Linked DNA regions of Lepisosteus oculatus. The protein of the gene in region 1 interacts with the protein of each later gene in a pairwise test. Links are inferred from orthologs where the notes say so. Each region holds a gene or a part of one and is shown in the gene's direction. Other genes may lie near its edges.

Region 1 (7,488 bases):
GTGAAAGGCTCCGCTCCTGAAGCTCGAGATTTTAATCGCACAGTTCACCTGAGCTATATAGCTCTCTGGGTCCAGGTTCTGTTTACAAATTGCCAGATGTATAAGGGATTCACCTGGATAAATCAAGCCTAGGTAGTCCAAGACCAAACCCACGAACTAAGTTATGGTGGGCCCTCAGAATGGGCAGCAGGAGAGGGAGGTGTAGCAAAGACGACTCATTACACAAATGGGCAACACATGACTTTAAAACAAACCTCAAATATCACAACTGTTGGCCCCTCCTATCGCAACCCCAGACTTCCAGGCCGCTTTCAAAATCTCCAGTTGTCCATGTTCTTTCCCCATTCACCCACCCATTTTCTAACCATTTCATCCAACTCAGGGTTAAGGTGGCCCAGCGCCTGTCCTGGGAAGCAAGAGGCACAAGGCGGGATACACCCCAGACTGGGACAGCAGTCCATCGCAGGGCACACACAGACACAGACACACACTCACACCAGGACCAATCTTCCCTGAAGCCAATTAACCTACTGGAGCGCCTTCAGGACACCCACGTGAATGGGGGAGAACATTCAAATTCCACACAGACAGCACCCCAGGTCCAGAATTGAACCCAAGACCCCAGGGCTGTAGTGCCGGGAGGCAGCAGTGCTAACCTCTGCACCACCCCGCCACCCTCTTACCCTACGCAAAACACGGCAAATGACATTTCTTGAGGACAAGCTGGAAAAATCACTCTATAACAGGTCAGCCTGTCATAGGAAGCGGTCTTTGTGATTGTGAATTGTAGATCGTGTCATTAAACTCAAAACGATTGAACGGTTCTTGCAAATTAAAAAAAAAAACATTTGTAGACATTTCATAAACGGAAACACATGGCGCACTAGTGACGCCTTGTGGGCATCCTTTTTTCTACAAGTAGACGCTAGAATTGCAGGCGACTCTTTTTAAAACCAGCCGTTTTTAGTAAGATACATAAATTTGCAGGAAGCGTTGGCGTAGACGCGGAGCAACAGGTAAGAAAGCCTGATGGCCATGTATAAATACTGTCTGTACTCCTATGGAGGCTTACCATAGGTAACATCGACCCTGGAAGTCAAAGAGATAATTCCAGTCACGTTTCACTCATGATTGTTTTTATCCAGGAACAGGCCAGAGGCTACCTTCCCACAGACCAGAGATTTAGGACAGATACTGGATCCTGAATCTGGGACTCCATAACACAAAATCCCAAAGGCCCGATACATTCCTGTTTCAACTCGCCAGCAGCCATATCACCCTGCAACCCACTGAAACTCAGCAGGTGTGAGCCTGGTCAGCACCCGGATGGCAGACTCCTGGGAAAGCTAAGGTTGTTCCTGAAAGAGGTGTTAGGGGGGGCAGTAGGGGGCGCTCACCCTGTGGTCTATAAGGTCACTTTATTGGCCATATACAATTTCTTGCATTAGGAATTTATCTTTTCGCATACCCAACTTGCTCTACATGAGACACACAGACAGGGAGAGAAGGTTGGGGTCAGAGCGCAGGGTCAGCCATTTGTACGGTGCCCCTGGAGCAGCTTGGGTTAAGGGTCTTGCTCAGGAGCCCAACGGAGTAGGATTCCTCTGCTGGCTATCCCGGATATGTGGGTCCTGATGCCCTAGTATAGTGATGGGGACACTATACTGTAGAAAGGCACTGTCCTTTGGATGAGACGCAAACCGAGGTCCTGACTCTCTGTGGTCCCAGGGTGTTTCTCGAGAAGAGTAGGGGTGTTATCTTGGTGTCCTGGCCAAAATTCCCATTGGCCTTTACCAATCATGGCCTCCTAATAATCCCCATCTATGAACTGGCTTCATCACTCTGCTCTCCTCCCCAATGATAGCTGGTGTGTGGTGAGTGTACCGGTGCGCTATGGTCCCCATTACCTAAAACGTGCTTGGAGTGGAGGGTCCAGAAAGTGCTATATAAGTGTAAGTAACTCAAAAGGGAGATTTTCCACACAGCGTTACCTATTCCTACACACTCCACTACTGACAAGACAGGGTCTGTTCTGATCTGGCCTGGTCTGTACCTCCTCTGCAGTCACTGCCCTGCAGGTTATATGGTGAACAGGTGGATGCTGCACATCGGTGGTGGTGGAGGGGAGTCCCCATTACCTGTAAAGCGCTTTGAGTGGAGTGCCCAGAAAAGCGCTATATAAGTGTGAGCAATTATTATTATAACTACAACCCTTCAATAGCAGACTGTTATGAAAATGAATGAAATCAATCAACGATTCAGTTAAAGCTTCTGTACATCCCGGAATTCCTCTCTCTAATTCTCCGGACCCACACATTATTTAACGTGATCAGACCGTCTTCCAAAAAAAAAAAAATTGCATTCTGGAGGCCATTTTTAAAAGACGCTTAAATGCAAGCGTGTGTCACTTCATATGTCTGAGCCCTTGGCAATCCCAGAATCCTTGCCAGGAACGGGCTGCATCACTGAAGATTATGCCCACCCCTGTGTCAGCATGTCACAGCCTTAGCTCTAAAGCAGAGGAGTCCAGTCTCAAACCCAGGGGGACCACTGTGTCTTTAGCGGGGATTCCCAGTCTTAGTCTTGGGGACCCTCACAGGTCAACCCCGATTTGAACCAATTGCTTGGCATGGGTTTTTTTTTCTGACTAAAGGTGGATCTTAAGTTACTTACAAAACAGAATAGCTGAAAGGCAACTTACAACATGTTTATGAACAGAAAACAATGGAAGTGTTCAAATTAAACGTATAATTGGGTCTATTAAGCCACCTGCACACTTTGATTGAGTGTGCAGGTGGAACAGAAACCAGCAGGTATGGGGGTGCCCTGGACCAGGACTGGGGACCCCTGATCTATAGAGCTTCATTCTAGCTCTAGCTTAATTTGATTTGTGCTGCGTGGCTGCTGGGACATAATGACTAAGGTGTTAGTGGGGCCAGCAGGGGGCGCTCACTCTGCAGTCTATGTCGGTCCTAATGCCCCACTATAGTGACAGGGACACTATACTGTAAAAAGGCGCTGTCCTTCGGATGAGACATAAAACCGGGGTCCTGACTCTCTGTGGTCAATAAGAGTCCCAGGGTGTTTCTCGAAAAGAGTAGGGGTGTTACCCTGGCATCCTGGCCGAATTTCCCCTTGGCTTTTACCAATCATGGCCTCCTAATAATCCCCATCTATGAACTGGCTTCATTACTCTGTTCTCCTCCCCACTGATAGCTGTATGCCTGCCGTTGCATCATCCAGGTGGGGCTGTGCAGTGGTGGTGGTGGAGGGGATCCCCATTACCTGTAAAGCGCTTTGGGTGGAGTGTCCAGAAAAGTACTATGTAAGCGTAAGCAATTATTACTAATAATTATTACTGTGTGTCACCCAGATGCATCCAGCACTCCAGGGCATGAAATAATAATAAACCTATATAGAGCCCTAAAAGAATCTTCTCAAAGTGCTTAACGGTCAAAGTAAACAAAACACCAGTTACAACACAAGAACAGTAACAGGAAAACTGCAAACTCAGTAGCCTTCCAGGACCATGAGTGGACACGCGTGCTCGAAAGCAGTGGTCCACGGCTCTGGTCACGTGTCACCCTACCCAATACCTGCTGGTCTTCAATCGCTTAACTGATCTCACATCACAGCAATATAAGCAATATTCGACATTTTCTTCTCCTGCAAAGACAATGTTTTCAAGTTACTCGCAGATTTTGTGATGAAAAAAAAATCTGACATATCCAGGACTGAAAACAATCCAAAAAGGTCCAATTGATAAGAAACTAAAATCTGGGGTTCGATTAAATGATCGCGAGCTAAGATCAACTGCGGAAGACAGAAGAATAGACAGTAATTCGCAATTGATCATTCAAAACCGCTGGTGTAATATTATCTTCTGTTTTGCGTCTTAAAACCGCAACTGTCACACGTACAGTACGCACTTAGACAAATACAACACTCCCTGTCAGCAATATATACACTGTATTTTTAATAAAGTGTTAGTTTTGCCATTTGAATAAGACAAATCGATGACGGCATCTGCTGGGCACAGCATACGAATGGCAATAAATTACTTCAAGGGGAGTTCCTGTTTTGACGCAGGTATACAATAATGGCAGCACAGAATTAAAAACAAAATACAGAGTAACGAAAGCGTATGCAGTCACTACGTGGTGGAAGGTAGAGATGTTTGGCACACGATCACGGATGACTGATCCATAAAGGGGCTGTTATTCTCTCCAACCAAAGACAGATCTGAACAGTTGTATAGCGCACTGCATTCATGTAATCTGGACCAGGCTAGGCTGAGTGCCAGGGCTGAGGGCATTTCTATATTTCCCCTTTCCTTCTGTATTATTTTCCTGGTCCTCTTCCGTAAGAGTCTCTCTCCCTTTCTGCCAACATGAGGTAGCCCCAGTTGTTAGCGGTGGGGCTCTTATTTTGGCACAGCGAGAAGGTCCGTACAATGCTTAGTCATGGTGAGTTACGTCTTCCCTCAACCCCCCCTTCTTGCCCGCCCCCCCCTTTTTTCCTCTAAATTCACGGCAAACACTGAGCAGCGATAGAAATGTACGTCTTGTGCTACAAAAGATTTCTGTAAGTAACCACCGCCTGTATCGAGCGAAGGCGTCTTTTAACGCGGTTTGCGATTTGAATGTTTTTCCTGATGTATCGGGCTTTTTGTTCTCGGTGACTAAAGCATGTTATCATCATAGACACGCTTGCTTTGCGAGCCGCGATAAACAGCTTACAGTAGCAGAACACAGATGGTGTCAGAAGAGCCTGCGAATACTTAATCAACAAAGCAATACTTGCTTGTGAGCTAATTAATTACTGGAGTTTTTTCTGTTTTAGTTTGGTGCATGAAAAACGAAAAATATGAATACCGATTCCACAGCATTGCTGTGGAAATATTACTCTAATGTAGTATAGTAAGCGCTATGCATCATCGCTGATGTCTTTTTTACGTGTTTGTGACTGTCAGTTGGTTATGCAACAGGATGACAAAACTACAGGGCTGATCGCTTTTTTTTATACTGCTTAAAGTACTGTAGCGTCCAGAGAAGTGTTGTTTGCGCTCTGGTACAGTTTGTAATCAGTAGTGTCTCTCTCTTCGCTAACTGGTCATGGAAAGGTGAGTCACTAAGGGGGGGAAGGGATTTTATGCAAAAAATAATTGCAGTTTGTTTTTCGATCCGCTTCTATGCTTTAAGAAACGGTGCATTTTTTTATCCAAACCTTCTTAAAAGTGTTTTGGCTCGGCTAGATGTGTAGCCCATACAAAATAGACCATTACGTAACAAAGTGTAAGTGACAGTGTTAACTTTAGTGGCTTCGATCATATTTAAGTAGCTTCTGGAACCGCAGACTAACGTGCGTTTTTATACATTAACTCCTATTAGATGCGAGGAGACATTTGCACTCTCATTTTGTGGTGTAGACACAAATTAAAATATTTTAAAGGTCCATTTGAGCCGCTTTTACTGCTGTATGTTAACTCATTCAACTCATCCATCGGATGTTTTCTGTGTGGGAAAACCATTATCTACACGATAAGTAAATAAGTTATTTTCCATAGTCCATAGTCCCAGATTATGGAAGAGACCCTTTGCGTTCGTTTTCAGAGTTTAGTTAATTTTACATCGAAAGAGGAAACGGTTATTAAAATATTACTGTACTTTGACCGAAACTTTCAATTTGTGTTCCACCTTTTCAGTGTTAAGCTTGGTCTCGATTCATATCTCTTACATATGAATATAACACTCGATGACGGGTTTTAATTACCGGAACATTAAAAATAAACGCGAGGCGTGTCACTGTTCCCTTGTTTGCAGCAGTGTTTTTCATTTACCGGGGGACGCGTGTTTTCTCAAGCGAAGTCGGTATCGCGGGGTGGGGTAACAAATCTCTACTCTAGTCCGGGGATTCTAGGCCATTATTGCAAGGTAACCCTGTGTATTATCCTGTTTAATATTATAAGTAACCACATGCAACACTCATATTAGCGAGACGTTAAAAATAAAGGCCAGGTTTGCTGTATAGACTACGGTTAAATAATATAAAGACTTACACCAGACTGGCTGTAACGCGAACATTTGTTGACCTGGTTTTGTAAACCTGACCGTGGCACTATAACCTATCATCGCCTTAAGTTTTAGACCTTTACAGGTATATGTTATGGTGCATAAAGCTCCCGCTTGTGAAGAAGAAAAACAAAAAATATTCCAGCGCACCGAGTCCATTTTTTAACCACTGAAGTCTTTTTTTTATGCTTGTTCTTCCAAATTCTTTATGCGCCGCACACCAATGCTTATTTCATACACAGAAGTCTTACACAATCACACGCCTCTTATTTTTTCAGTTTTCTAGAGATGACGAAGCTGTACACTACCTGATTCCTTATATCCGGCCCAACTATTGGAATTAGAAAGTTGCAGGTCATGTTGAACGATGTTGCTTTTAATATAAATTAAATGAGAAGGGAGGACTGGGTCATGTTTACGTGACCCACTGACAGCCCACTGTATTTCCCAGTGCCTCCCACAGTCTAAGACACGAGTGGATCACGCTAACAGCTAATTACACGAACGCACGTTTTATTTTCACGTGAAAACACTTGGCTTTTTAAATGTGTATATATATTTGTGACTTGGCAAGTTTTGAAAGCCCTATTCATGTTAACGAATCATTACACATCTCATTTATTTTATGCAATCTATTTTTTCTCAAGCCATTAAGAGCTGAGGTATAATGAAAAAACATTTTTTTTGACACTTCAGGACCTGGAGTGCTGATCACTGCCCAAACAATTGTATCTTCACAGCTGTAAGCTCTCAAAGGACTGATATAAATTACATACACCTGCTCACTTTCATGCCAAACAAGCTTAATTACTTAATTGAATCCTTAATCGAACTCACAAGGTGATTGGTTGAAATACTTGCCAGCCCATTCCTCCTCTCCCATTTCTTTGCAGTTGTATAGCTTGTCCTGACTTGGAAGGTCCAATTTTAGATGTCCTATTTACTAGATGAAGAGAAGATTAATAAATGAGAGTTCTTAACTGAACTATGGGAGGAAAGGCAACACTCTGTGCCACAGCTGTTCTAAATCATAATCATTCTCAACATCAGTTCTTGAAAGTTGTATATATCATAAGCAGACCCCACTTTTCACATTCATCTCTCTCCCGGGGGGGTCCCAGCATCCTTTTCCTGTGGCTGGGGGGCCAAGACAAATTTCTGTCCTAATTGTTCTGTCACATTCAGGGCCGCAGCAGAGCTGGAGCCTATCCCAGGAAGCAAAAGGCACAAGACGGGGTACATCCTTGAAGGGGGCCGGTCCATCACAGGGATAGGGCACACACAGACATAAAAATACACACACACCTGTGCAATTTGTGTAGAAATTGACCTACCAATTAAGGGCCAATTAAATTACCACTATGTCTGTGGACTGTGGGAGGAAACCCGGAGCAGAAACCCACATGAACAACATACA
Region 2 (7,309 bases), on another chromosome or scaffold:
TCTGGCTCAGTATGGCTCGGTCCAGTCCAGTCCAGTCCAGTCTGGCTCAGTATGGCTCGGTCCACTCCAGTCCAGTCCCTTCTGGCTCATTCCACAGTTCAGCCCGTTCTCCCTCACTTGCCGGTCAGTCCAGTCCAGTCTGGCTCAGCCGAGTCCGTTCTCACTGCCAGTTCAGTCCAGTCCAGTCTGGCTCAGTGTGGCTCGGTCCAGTCCAGTCCAGTCCAGTCTGGCTCTTCCCACAGTCCAGCCTGTTCTTTTTCACTGCTGGTCAGTCCAGTCCAGTCTGGCTCAGTATAGCTCAGTTCAGTCCAGTCCAGTCCAGTCTGGCTCAGTCCAGTCCGTTCCAGTCTGGCTCAGTATGGATTGGTCCAGTCCAGTCCAGTCCAGTCTGGGACAGTCCAGCCTTCTGACAGTTTACCATAGTGAATGTATCACACTCTGTGGGTTGTTTTACTGTGTTTTTTCCACAGATGTGCTGTGGGTTTAACCAGCCTTGTCTGTGCTGTGCCACAGTGCATGACCAGGAAGGCCGGGTCTGAGTCCCGTTAATGGCGGTTGTGGGTGCGAGGCCTCCTGTTCCTCGTGTACTTCCTGTCTGGTCTTAATTGGCAACTAGTTAACGAGGAACAGAGAGGGGTGGGAATAACCTCCTATGAGTCTTGCTGTTCAACTAAAGGTTTGATCAGTAATCAATCAGGATAATAATTCAAGTAGTTCAGGAGGGGAGCTGGCTGCAAAGGAACAAGTGCAGGTTTATTCCCCGCAGAAGAGCGATGAAAGGAAACACAACGTTTCGGCTGTGGAGCCTTCTTCGGGTGTGGATGGGCAGGCACTTCTAGTCTCTTCTAGTGCACTCTAACCCAACAGTCCTGTGCACCGGTCCAATCTGACCTAGCCCATTCCACTCCATCGCGGTCCCGTGCAGTCCAGTCTGGGCCAAATCAAACCCGGTTCAGCCCACTACGCTGTTCCCTAGATCTCAGTCTGACTCGGTCCGGTCCAGCCCACACCTCTCCGGACTGACGCAGGTCATCCCAGTCTAATTCCAGACCCCTCTCGCCCGTTGTGACCTCTGTGTTGAACAGCCTAGGTCTCCATTCGGACCAGTCCGGTCCAGTGCCCTGCAGTGTGACCCGCCCCAGTGCGGTCCACAACCCACAACCCGGCCGCACCAAGTTCTGCAGCGTGGGCCGGCCCAGCCCGGGACAGGCTTGAGACTGCGGAATGAGAAATAAAAGCCTTTCTCCGCGATTCCTGTCCTGGGCCTTGTTGTCCGGGCCGGAATGCTGTGACAGGGGATGATGGATGACCCGGGCCCAGAAGGGATGGGTGTTTATCCCCCCCAGTGCCACCCTGTCCCTGGTAATGGTTTCCCCCGAGCCCTGGCTTCTGGACCGTGGGGCCCAGAGAGAGAGGGCACGGCGCTCTCTAATCACGGCCCCCTCCCCAGCGCAGTCAAAACATCCCCCCGGTCCCGTTTCCTGCTGACTGCACGCTGGCACACGGGCCCTGCTGCCTGAAACGCCCACGCTGTCGACAGCCCTCGTTAGCGCCCCTTTAACGAGGTCCCCCGGCACGGCATCCCCGACCTTCCCCTTCCCTGAGCTGGCTCGGGTCTTGCTTTTTCACACCAGGGGCGGGAACTGACGTTGCGGGCCGGGGAGGAGGTGGGGGGAAGCATTTCAGTGTGGCGCGGGCTTCACACACCTTCGCCGATAGGGCCCCGCCCCGCGAAAGGTAACACCGGCATGTCGTGTTTTTCTCTGCGGGCGCGCGGCGGCGGGGGGGCGTGATCCGACTTCAGAGCGCGCTGCCAGGGCGCCTGGAGGGGCTCGGGCACGGAGGGGTGACCCCTGTTTATCTCCGCTGGCGATCTGGCCAGCCCAGGCGCTGGGAATGAGTGGCGGGGGGGATGAAAGGCGGGATCGGGCGGTCCTAGACCCAGGCTTAATAACGCAATCAGGCCGTTTCCTGTTTAGGGAAGCCCAGAGAGGCCTGTTCGGCCCCAGGGGAGGTAGGATTAGGACGTTAATGGAGCGTGAACACAGCACCGAGCAAGGGCAGAGGGAGAGTGAGGGCAGGAGGGACAGACGGGCTTCCTGAGAAACAGACGGGCCCAGAGAGGGGGGCAGTGCAGGAAAAGACAGAGGAAAACTAGCAGAGCCCAGTGAGATCGGGGTAAAAGCACAGTACAATGCAGTAGAGCCCAGTGAGATCGGGCTAAAAGCACAGTACAATGCAGTAGAGCCCAGTGAGATCGGGCTAAAAGCACAGTACAGTGCAGTAGAGCCCAGTAAGATCGGGGTAAAAGCACAGTCCAGCGCAGTACAGCCCAGTGAGATCGGGGTAAAAGCACAGTCCAGCGCAGTACAGCCCAGTGAGATCGGGGTAAAAGCACAGTCCAGCGTAGTAGAGCCCAGTGAGATCGGGGTAAAAGCACAGTACAGCGCAGAAGAGCCCAGGGAGATCGGGGTAAAAGCACAGTACAGCGCAGCAGAGCCCAGTGAGATCGGGGTAAAAGCACAGTACAGCGCAGTAGAGCCCAGTGAGATCAGGGTAAAAGCACAGTATAGCACAGTAGAGCCCAGTGAGATCAGGGTAAAAGCACAGCACAGTGCAGCAGAGCCCAGTGAGATCGGGGTAAAAGCACAGTACAGCGCAGTAGAGCCCAGTGATATCAGGGTAAAAGCACAGTATAGCACAGTAGAGCCCAGTGAGATCAGGGTAAAAGCACAGCACAGTGCAGCAGAGCCCAGTGAGATCAGGGTAAAAGCACAGTACAGTGCAGCAGAGCCCAGTGAGATCAGGGTAAAAGCACAGTACAGCGCAGTAGAGCCCGGTGAGATCAGGGTAAAAGCACAGTACGGCGCAGTAGAGCCCTGTGAGATCGGGGTAAAAGCACAGTACAGCGCAGCAGAGCCCAGTGAGATCGGGGTAAAAGCACAGTACAGTGCAGCAGAGCCCAGTGAGATCAGGGTAAAAGCACAGTACAGCGCAGTAGAGCCCGGTGAGATCAGGGTAAAAGCACAGTACGGCGCAGTAGAGCCCTGTGAGATCGGGGTAAAAGCACAGTACAGCGCAGCAGAGCCCAGTGAGATCGGGGTAAAAGCACAGTACAGTGCAGCAGAGCCCAGTGAGATCAGGGTAAAAGCACAGTACAGCGCAGTAGAGCCCGGTGAGATCAGGGTAAAAGCACAGTACAGTGCAGTAGAGCCCAGTGAGATCGGGGTAAAAGCACAGTACAGCGCAGCAGAGCCCACTGAGATCGGGGTAAAAGCACAGTACAGTGCAGCAGAGCCCAGTGAGATCAGGGTAAAAGCACACTACAGCGCAGTAGAGCCCAGTGAGATCGGGGTAAAAGCACAGTACAGTGCAGCAGAGCCCAGTGAGATCAGGGTAAAAGCACAGTACAGCGCAGTAGAGCCCGGTGAGATCAGGGTAAAAGCACAGTACGGCGCAGTAGAGCCCTGTGAGATCGGGGTAAAAGCACAGTACAGCACAGTAGAGCCCTGTGAGATCGGGGTAAAAGCACAGTACACCGCAGTAGAGCCCAGTGAGATCGGGGTAAAAGCACAGTACAGCGCAGTAGAGCCCAGTGAGATCGGGGTAAAAGCACAGTAAAGCCCAGTGAGATCAGGGTAAACGCATGCTAAAGTAATGAGTGATGTGAACCCTGAACCCATAGAAGCCTATGCAAAAATAAGCCTGCAGTCAAATTACAGGTTTCTAAATCAGGGGTCTCCAGCCCTGGTCCTGGGGATCCCCAGGGTCTAGTGCTCTCCAAGATGATACCCCAGTCAATCTGGGGTCCTGTACACTGTTCAGCGGTACAGCAGCAGGGTCTCCCACCCCAGGGTCGAACCCACGACCCCCCAGTGCCCAACGCAAGAGCGGAGAACAACTAGAGACGCTGAAAACGGGCTGCTGCTCTTTAGAAGATCAACAGCTGCCGTCTAGTGTCTCGTACTGGTATTGCACGCAGGTGCAGAGCACAGTTAACGGACACCGCGAATGTGCGGTTTATCTCGTCCCACACTCGCGCTTATTTGTGTGTACTCGATAGCTGACAAACCAGGTCGTCTCTCCCGGCCGAACTTTTAATAGAATTTATAATGTTTAAAGGGTGCAGAAAAAAAAAGAAATCGGACGAACGGAGCATTCCCTTTAAGAACTCAGTGGGGAGGCGGGACGTCCTTCCAAACGGTGATTGGGCAACCGGCGCGCCGATCGGGTTCCAGACGCAGGCGCGGTTCTCCGCTCTGATTGGTCGAGGCGGCTGTCGCCTGTGACAACCCGGAAGCCCTCCTCGCCGGGCAATGAATGAGAACCGGAAGTGCCTGCGGGTAGCGACGGTGCGAGCGGGGAAGACTCTCGTTGAACCACTGTGAATATATCTAGGTGAGCGGTATCGGTTCGTGGGTTTTATATAAATATATCTATATTTTTTTTTTTTTTTTACAAAAACGCGTTTCCCGTTAGCCGAAAAGTCAAAACAAGAGCGTCCCGGAAAGCTCTGGGGGGGAGACGAAAATCTCTTCTGTTTTGTGAACTTTAGCCTCGGCTCCTCTCCGTTAATATTTCATTTATTCTCATTTCGATTCGCTGTGCCCCTCCTGCACACAAGTCGCACCCTGCCGTATCCGTGTAGTTGTTTTCTTCCTTTCTGTGCGGCTCATGTCGCGATTTCAGTGGCGACAGACCAGTTGTCGCTGCCCGGCTCCCGGGCTGGCGGCTCGGTTCTGACTTGGCGGTCCGGGGCCGGAGAGCGCAGCTCACACCCGAGACCGCTTTCCGGGGATTTCTCGGGAATCATCTCATGACTTGGCGATGGAGGGGTTGTGATTTTTTACTTCTCCACTTTTCTACAAACAGAAAAAAACGTGTCACCGTGACATTTCCCCAGCCCTAAACGGTACGGCTCGGCTCCGTTCTGGCGAGTTCTCGGACGTCCGGACTGGACCCGAACCCGTCTGTCTGGATACGTCCGCCAGTTAGCTCTGCTAGCCGTTGAACAAATCACACCTTCCCTACCCGTCTGGGATATGTGATGCAGTCCGCGGAGAAGTCGGCGCTGCGCTCCTGCTGTGTAGCAGGATGATCCAGTCCGGGCTTTGCGCAGGCAGGGCAGCCGCGCAGTGCTGGGTCTACGTAGAGTCTGTCTGCTCATAGTGCGCAGACTTGCCCGTCTTTAAATGCGGCCCTTTCCTACGATGAGTACAACAGGAACGAGTAAGACCTGGAGCGGATCAGATTGCTGTGCAGTGGGAGTGTGATCTGTCTCTCAGGTTAACACTGCAGAAATCACTAACCCCATGTAGGGGTGTTTAAAATACCAGTATCTACAATACTGTTAGGCTTGACCCTTCCAATTAATTTATTTGGGGGCTCCCCAGTCTGGGTCGTGCGGGGCTGCTGTGTGGCCTGCAGGTTTTCAGTCCCCTTAACGACCTGCGTCGGCTCGTTAACGGCTTTAATTGGACCACTTAAACAGCCGTTCAGGCGCTGCTGTTTCTAAGAGAACTAGGAACCCCGCAGACGCAGCGTCCCCTCCTGGACCAGGAGTGGGGACCCCTGGCGGACTTTTTAAAAATTGCCCTCTGAGGGCAGTACTGTGTGGCGATCACGGACTCCCCTGGTGGAGACCCGTCGTGTACCTGGTTTAGGGCAGCTGCCCGCAGTCCGGGCCGGAGTGTTTGTTTGATAGGGCAGTCCTGCGCCCCCTGCTGGGCGTGTTGGGTGTGTCCCCAAGGCTAGTCGGTTTTATATGGGACTGCAAAGTCCAAAGGCTGTCTTGGCGAGCGTTTGGTGTCGTTTCTGGGGCTCCGCCCAACCCCGTAAAAAACACGCCCGCCTACACGGACACGGACACGGACACACACACACACGGAAACGCACTCCCAGGACGCTTTCAGGAAGCAGCGGGGTGAGATCTGCCCAGTGATGACGGGGGGGGCTGCTTTACACAAAGGGCGGCGGGGGTGTGGAGCAAGCTGCCCCAACAGCTGGTTCAGTAGTTCAGGTCTGGTCTTGTTAGACCAGGAGGACAGCTGGTCCGGTGGTTCAGGTCCGGTCCTGTCACACCAGGGGGACAGCCGGTCCGGCGGTTCAGGTCCGGTCCTGTTACACCAGGGGGACAGCCGGTCCGGCGGGTCAGGTCCAGTCCTGTTACACCAGGGGGACAGCCGGTCCTGTGGGTCAGGTCCGGTCCTGTCACACCAGGGGGACAGCCGGTCCGGCGGTTCAGGTCCGGTCCTGTCACAACAGGGGGACAGCCGGTCCGGCGGGTCAGGTCCAGTCCTGTCACAACAGGGGGACAGCCGGTCCGGCGGTTCAGGTCCGGTCCTGTTACACCAGGGGGACAGCCGGTCCGGTGGTTCAGGTCCAGTCCTGTTACAACAGGGGGATAGCCAGTCTGGCGGTTCAGGTTATGTCTCATTAGACCAGGGGGACCGTCAAAGCACTGGCCGTCCTGTCCGGCCCAGTGCTTGCTGGGACAGGCTCCGGCACTGCCCCCCCCCAGTCGCGCGCCTCCTCTGCCGCTGCCGCCCGGCTCACGTCCCGGCGCTCTCTCTCTCTCTCTCTCTCGCCGCCCCGCAGAGCTCGCTGTCCGCGTCTGAGCCGGGGCCCGGAGATGGTGGACTCCCAGTACTACCTCCCCAACGACGTCGGGATCGCGGCGCTGGACTGCGCCGAGGCCTTCCGGCTGCTGTCGCCCAGGGAGCAGCTGTACGCCCACTACGTGTCCCGGGCCGCCTGGTACGGCGGCCTGGCCGTGCTGCTGCAGACCTCGCCCGAGTCCACCCCCGTCTACGTGCTGCTGCAGCGGCTCCTGCGCCGCCAGCCCCCCGCCGAGCTGGAGGGCGTGGCCACGGCCGCGGGGCTGACCCCCGAGGAGTTCCAGGTGAGCCTGTCTCGGCGGTGCGGCTCTTCACACCCCCTCTGGCCAGAGTATTGGGATCCCCCATGAATAATGGGGTGACCAGTCCTGGTCAAGGAAGGGTCAGTGTGTCTGCAGCGGGGGTGTCCAGTCCTGGTCCAGGAGGGGGCGCTGTGTCTGCAGCAGGGCTGTCCGGTCCTGGTCCAGGAGGGGTCAGTGTGTCTGGAGCAGGGCTGTCCAGTCCTGGTCCAGGAGGGGTCAGTGTGTCTGCAGCGGGGGTGTCCAGTCCTGTTCCAGGAGGGGTCAGTGTGTCTGCAGCGGGGCTGTCCAGTCCTGGTCCAGGAGGGGTCAGTGTGTCTGCAGTGGGGGTGTCCAGTCCTGGTCCAGGAGGGGTCAGTGTGTCTGCAGTGGGTGTGTCCAGTCCTGGTCCAG
Region 3 (6,851 bases), on another chromosome or scaffold:
GTGTACTACTATGCATTTTAACACACGTCCCCCCTTTCCGACTCCAGCGGTTGGTAATTTTATTCAAGGCACTACGGCACCCTGGGATAGCTCGTCAAGACCTCGCCAGCCTCCTGCGAGACGCTGGAGAGCAGTTTTCTTATTTGAACACCCAAGCCATTGCGCAGAACCGTGTTGGCGGTAATAACTAATGTTCGATCAATTAGAAACGTACGGGCGCAGCTGGAAAGTGGGTGTTAGGGGGAGAAAATGTGTCGGAGGAAAAGAGCTGAACGGTTAGAAATAGCTGCTGAAATAACGCAGCTGTAACATTCAGTTTCACCTTCCCTTCATTAGCTACAGATTTTGAATTCAGCCTCCTGGAGGAACACAGGCAGGAGAAATCTAACGATTCTTGTTGTTACTCATCTTCTGTGGTCCAGGTGCTGTGATGTATAGTCTCCACTGTTCTCCCCTCCAGCGACCAACCCCGACTGACGGCGGTCTTCCCTTAGGCCCCCGACAGAGGGCAGTGTGCGCAGAAATGACGAGATACTACTGTACTTGTTATTCATGCGCAGTTTTCTGCATATCCCAGACTTGCACTATCTTCCTTACACACACAGCTCATTTAATTTGACAGACATAACCCTTGGAAATCTCCTGAGACAAAAATCAGTACGTAATTACTTGGGAACGGCTGCTCTTCAAGATCACATCTTTACAGTAGCGTTGACCAAGGGTTGTGGGGGTGTGGAGACGGCAGGGAGAGGTCTTTGGATCAATTGTCCACTTGCAGGCAAGTGAACTACACGGGCCAAACATCTCTGGTTACGGACTTTCTTTTCCCTTCCGTTGCCGAGTTTGTTCTGGGCCTTGAAAAGCATCCAGGGACTGTCTGTTCTATTCCTGACAGAGTAGCTAAGAGAAGTGCATTTGGTGAAAGTTATCCCATGCCTTCCCTTGAACCTAATAATTTCCGTGAAGTGATAGGAGATTTGCAGCTCAGATGCACCATTATTCCTGTCTTTATTTTCAGAGCACTCTATGTTATTGACTCAGTGGGGTGGGATCCCACTCAGCCCTTTCTGGTCTTCTGATTTGCTGCTGGACTCGAACATAACTCCTACATAATTTCACCCACCTTAGGCAGTTTTGGCCTGGCTCTGGGTGGCTGTTTATTTGAAGCCCTAGTGCAGAAAAACACGGCTCATTACAGTGTTTTTTAACAGTGTTCCCACTCATTTCTACCAACAAAACTCCAAACCTTTCCAGAACTTCTTTTCCTGCATAATTTAATCTTTTTGGAGCCATAGCTTGTATTTTTCATCTGCTAACCAGAGGTCGCTGAAAACACATTTACCTGGCATTTTGACATGGGTGCTAGGCCAGCTAACGGCTCACTATAAAATTCCCGGGAGAGGGTCTAACAGGACACAGTAATGTGTCCTGTTAGCAACGGCAACACCACAGCCTCTTTTTAAAGGTTTTCTAATTTATGAACAAAATTACGTGATACAGCCATGATAATCTGGGGTCAATGTATAGGGTTTCAACAGGCAAAATAAATAACAGCCGAAAGCTTTTTTTGCTTTTTTCTGGTTGTGACACGTTCACGTTCCTTAATATTGGCCTGGAAAGTTTCAACATTCCTCAGTGAAACACCTAACGAGAGAAGGATATTTTTAAGTCTTTAAAAACCTTCATAACCTGATCCTACACTTAACAATAAGACACTTTAAAATTCTGAGCGCTGGCTCAGATAACGCCTGCTTTCACGCAGCTCAGGAAGCAAAACTTAATAAAGATGCAGATGAGAAATGTGGTAGAATCTGAAGCATAATATTAGATATGTTGTACATGTTCCAGATATTAAAAATAAAACCTTGAATTATAAAGAAATGTATATATAATGTTATCCTTTCTTACAAAATCAAAATCAAAACAAAGTTCTGTAACATTTTATTTTTAAGATCCCTGTAGTCAAAACACACTTAACAAGGCATACAGATCAATTTATTCATTTTATTTGCAGTTGATCCAGCGTGGCAGTCACTGTAGAGATGCCTCCTACAGGGTGGTTACTGGCTAGCCCTCTGGATGAATTCTTGCAGTGTAAAAACATTTGAAAAATCCAAATCGGCTTTGACAAGCTGTTCCTGAGGCTCACACTGAAACGCTCCAGATCTTTTTCTCCTATAGAATTAAAAGTGCACAAGTCACTAATGTCACATGGTAGAGAATGTAGTTCCTCTTAGGACCATAAAAACAAGTGGGGAGCAAACAAGTGGAGGAATTTTTGACTTACCACCCGTGTTTGGAACCTGACAGTGTCATGAGGTACCCCAGGGGGACGTCTTTAACCACATGTCTGGGTGCCTTGTTCTACCTACAACCTTCTGTGTGGAGAAGTACAGCAACCTGCTGTTCTGAGTCTCGAATGCATGTCCTCTGATTTCCCTCGTCTGATCCCGGAGCCTCGGTCTTACTGCGTTTACCTTCTCAGTTTTGGTCTGCTTCACAGTATTATCCATCCGTCTTCAAACTATCCCAGCAAGCAACGGGCCCAAAATATGGGCGGAACGCCAACCCATCACAGGGCAGACAGAGACACAAACACAGGCACGCTCACACCAGTTTTCCCAACCGCCAATTAACCTTCCAGCATGGCTTTGGACTGTGAGAGGAAACCGGAGCACCCAGAGATGCACACGAACACAGGGAGAGCATGCAAACTCCACTCAGACAGCTGCCCGGGCCTGGAACTGACACCAGGGCCCCAGCGCTGTGAGGCAGCAATGCTGACCCTTTCACAATATGATCATACACTAAATATGTTTGAAGTGATACTGTTGAAAAAGAAGATAGGTCTCACATTGAGAGTGTATCTCCCCTTGCCTGCCAACCAATATGAAACAGCATTCAGGTTCAGCATGTTTACCTAAAGGAAAATTAAAATGTGTTAGATAAGATAAGATAAGATCACTTTATTAGCCATATACAATTTCTTGCATTAGGAAGTCATCTTTTCACAGACCCCAGCTTGCTCTCCATGAGACACAGACAGGGAGAGAAGCTTGGGGTCAGAGGTCAGCAGGGTCAGCTATTTATACAGCACCCCTGGAGCAGTTGGGGTTAAGCCTCCTTTGTGCAAACATTAGGATACGTTTCCCATCTCCAAAGGGGACTCAGGCCAAATGACAAAAGGTGACATAGTAACTCATATTTTCCATGAGTATATGTTATCTTTTTTAAATTTTCTTCTTCAAAATTTATTTGATTATTCCAAGCAACGTCAAGAACATATTTACCCAGGAGAATAACAATGAAGTCACTGTTAGCTACAATTAACTAATAAACAAAATGACTGTTAGAGGCTGTAAATCTTTTTAATCCGCATTAAACAACGGATTTCTCCCTGTGAGGGCTGGCGTGCCTGTGGGTTTGCATTGTAACTCCGCTCTTAAGGAACTAAACCATCTGGCATAACTGGATCAGCTTCTCCCAGCTCTTCAAGTACAATTACTTCAAAGAGACCTGGAAAACCTGCGCATCCACCCATCCTCCAGAAACACGACCTGGACGACCCTGTCAACTTACAAATCACACAGCTACTCCAAGAGGCGGGACGAACACATTGGACTTCCGGTATTGCGTCATTCCCTGACGCACAATATGAATATTCAGCACGAGGCGGGGGCGGCAAACGTCATCTGCAGCGCGCCTGGAATATTCTACGCATGCGCCTTGGGAAAAACGTGCAGCTGTAGTAGCAGAACATTTTTTGCAAGTCACGATGGGCCTGAGTAGTAGACGGCGAGACAAATATCAACATTAGCCGACATTAAATAGGAAAGGAAATACGTCTACGAGCGGATAGCGAATTCAAGGACTCGGTTTTGTATCTTGCCAGAGCACGGACTGTCAAAATCAACACACTGTAAGTATCGGAGGTTTTGACGCAAAAGATTTACAATTCAGTTACCACTCCTAAATGGTGAAGGAAAAGCCTGTGTTAGTTACCGTGTTGGTGTTCAGGAAATTGTCAAGTGTTGGGTTCGCTTTTCTCATCTAAAGAAGGGTTTTAGACAAAATGCTTGAAGCCAAATGTATTGCTTTGTGTTTGTAACAGACAGCTAAAGAAAATAACTCACTCCTATTGCCTCCCTCTACTTCCCTCTCCCATAACCACAGCGGCCTGCCCCCATCCAATCTCCATTGGCCGGTCAGAGGGAGAGTCCGGCGCGTGGGCTTCTTTCTTGGATTTCAATTGGCTGTCTGGGGTGTCAGTCACCATGGCACCACTTGTTGCTAAGCGTTGTTGCCGAGGTAGCGATAGCGGAAGTCTGCCGGCTGGGCACTTCCTGGTTTGTGTTGGTGTTTGCGACGAGGGCGGCCACGCTCGTATTTTTGTCAGTTTCGAGTACGGGACGGCTGGTGGGGAGGGTTATTTAGGAGGAGGAGGGGGGCACAGGGAAGAAGGAAAGTAACGGAGCTGGTAACGTCACTTTGGGAGGGGAAGACATGTAAGAGAAACCTTATAAATTTTCGTTCTCGCATTTTTCACCTTCATTACAACCTCGGTAACTTTATGACACAAGCCAGACGGGACGGGACAGTTGCGGAATCAGCCGACTGGAGACGGGGTTTCGTTTTTTCGAAAGGCCAGAGAGACCTTTCGAAATAATATTACATTATTGGCCATTTTTTAAAGGTTGATCGACTAATATCTAGCTTTTCAGAAACTGTTATTGAACAGACATTTGAAATTGGGATCTACCTCGTTGAGCAAAAGCACTCCATCCCTCGGATCTTGTGACCGATATTGCTGGTTTCTTCGTTTTTCTGTTTTGGTGCAAGAAGAGCTTTGTATGGCCACTGCCTTTCCTGGGAAAGCAAAGAAGGATTTATTTCCAGTTGCAAAACTTAAAAAGACCTTAAGAAGGTATTCATGAGTCCGTGCGGATGAAGAGTGGTCAGCTGTCTTTGCTGTGGAGGAAGTCCAGTTATTGCTTTTTAATAATTTCCTTTCAGTTATTGTTAATAACATCCACGGATTGGGTTCGATTCTTGAACATTTCATCCCTCATGAGCAAGCGGGTGTCGATAAATGTTTTTTGTTTCCTTGTCAAAATATAAAAGCTAGATGACGCACTGGCAGTATTGATAGTCTTGCCCATTCGGTGCAGTGGCTTAACGGTGAATACATTTAGTAAAAGCTAATACCGATTTTAGCTGAAAATGTTAAATTGTGTAGTATGAGCCCCAGAAATGTTTGAATGTATGACTTAAATTCGTAGGCATATCTAGTGAATGATTGAAATTCACGGACATGGACATGAATTCTTAATATTACAAAATACATCTTGGTACAGTAGATGAGCACGTGTCTGTTATATACTAATCCGATTACGAAAGTTAACGAAATAGAAAGTAATCTACATTTCTAGCTCAGGCATTGGAGACGAGCTTGGTGAAGTGAAACTCTGGGCTTTTAACAAGTTCTAGAAGTTTTATCTGCGACCCGAGGCGACGCGAATCGTGTGAAGCGTCGGCTTGGTTCTGTCTGAGCGTGGAGCCGTCACGGGTGGGGTGCGGGGTAGTCAGGTGCTCCCAGAATAAGAGACCGATTTGAGATGTGACAGTGTGACAAACGTTTCATGTATCATGCTTGGCTTGCGAGAGTAAGTAGGACAACCCTGGCGTTGACAATCGGTTTATCGTGGTGTTTGCTCTTTAAATACTCGCGTGGTCTACAGTCAGCTGATCGCTAGTAAATATGCATCCCCCACCCAGGCCGTGTCACGTTAACAATCGTTTGTGTACCCCGCGGTCCCGACAGGTTGTGTAGGCTAAGTGCAGTTAGAGGGGGGCTGGGCTGGGTGCCGGCGGGAGAAGGCCGGCTATTTCCCGGGAAACGGGCGGATTACATCACCCCGCCAGTTCAACCGCCGCCGCGTCTCCAGCACTTTGACAAAGTAGGTCAGCGCACCGCTGCTCTGAGCCGGCGTGGGAATCGGACTCGAGAGGAAACTGTTGCCCTTTCGTTTAGAAGGACTATTCCTTTGCTCATGGAGGGAACTTCACAAACACGTGCCTTTGCATAGGTTTGCGAGTGAAAAGGGTGGGACATGAAAAGCGTTTCAGTCATTTCTTTTTAAAATTGCAACCCCTCAGTGGTAGTTGGGGCTGGGAGGAGGAGGGGGAGTTAGTTTCTAAGCGCAGTTGCGAAATGAAGACCTGACCCCGCGGACACTCGTGTTTTTGGCAGTGTAACCCGACGCCTCGCGGCCCGGTGTCCAGTGCAACGTGCCTGCCCGGGGGGCTGTTTTGTTGTCTAGTCCGCCGTTGCCCGTGGCAACAGGAGCCTCCTGTGGCCGAGCTGCTGTTGCACCTCAAATGAACGTTTAATTCTATCGATTAAAAAAAACAAAAAAAAAGAGCGGCTTGCGGGTTTGCTGGGTCTTGTTAAGGGGCTAATCTGCCTCACTGGGGAGCTCTTGACCTGCCCGCTGGGAGAAGACTCCAGATCCACGGCAGGGGTTCCCAAGCCTGTCCCTGTGTGACCCACACGCCTGTTGGGTTTTGTTCCAGCCAAGCCCTCGATTACACAATCCAGCCTCTCTCACGTTATAATAATAAGATTCATTTGAGCAGCCCCCCTCCCCCCCCAGCGCTTAAACACACTGGAGCTTTAACCGTTGTGTTTTGTAAGTGAAATAAAATCCCAGACTTGTGACTAGCAACGGAATATTCCATTGAAACGTCTCGGATCGGTTCAGGGGCCGGTGATCCAAGGTGGGGCCGAGTGTGGGAGCCCCCGCTTCAGATCAAGGCCCCAGAGAAACCGCTCGCTGGTGCGATCCCCCTGC

The links. The genes of interacting proteins can lie anywhere in the genome.
Region 2: the proteins of keap1b (region 1) and dpp3 interact in binary tests that used the Homo sapiens proteins (3 or more experiments, as listed by UniProt). The two-hybrid records come from large-scale screens. The link is inferred for Lepisosteus oculatus from reciprocal best matches to the Homo sapiens genes KEAP1 and DPP3.
Region 3: the proteins of keap1b (region 1) and nfe2l1b interact in binary tests that used the Homo sapiens proteins (3 or more experiments, as listed by UniProt). The link is inferred for Lepisosteus oculatus from reciprocal best matches to the Homo sapiens genes KEAP1 and NFE2L1.

What each region holds. Positions count from the first base shown.
Region 1 is NC_090706.1:16,416,601-16,424,088, forward strand, and holds the start of keap1b (kelch-like ECH-associated protein 1B), read left to right. Parts: upstream 1-4,477; 5' UTR 4,478-4,584; intron 4,585-5,017; exon of another isoform or gene 5,018-5,122; intron 5,123-6,379; exon of another isoform or gene 6,380-6,423; intron 6,424-7,488. UniProt on the Homo sapiens protein: Substrate-specific adapter of a BCR (BTB-CUL3-RBX1) E3 ubiquitin ligase complex that regulates the response to oxidative stress by targeting NFE2L2/NRF2 for ubiquitination.
Region 2 is NC_090713.1:22,419,052-22,426,360, forward strand, and holds the start of dpp3 (dipeptidyl peptidase 3), read left to right. Parts: upstream 1-4,288; 5' UTR 4,289-4,398; intron 4,399-6,597; 5' UTR 6,598-6,631; coding exon 6,632-6,901; intron 6,902-7,309. UniProt on the Homo sapiens protein: Cleaves and degrades bioactive peptides, including angiotensin, Leu-enkephalin and Met-enkephalin. Also cleaves Arg-Arg-beta-naphthylamide (in vitro).
Region 3 is NC_090723.1:8,969,063-8,975,913, forward strand, and holds the start of nfe2l1b (endoplasmic reticulum membrane sensor NFE2L1b), read left to right. Parts: upstream 1-3,830; 5' UTR 3,831-3,919; intron 3,920-4,002; exon of another isoform or gene 4,003-4,125; intron 4,126-4,338; exon of another isoform or gene 4,339-4,505; intron 4,506-4,511; exon of another isoform or gene 4,512-4,924; intron 4,925-5,856; exon of another isoform or gene 5,857-5,957; intron 5,958-6,851.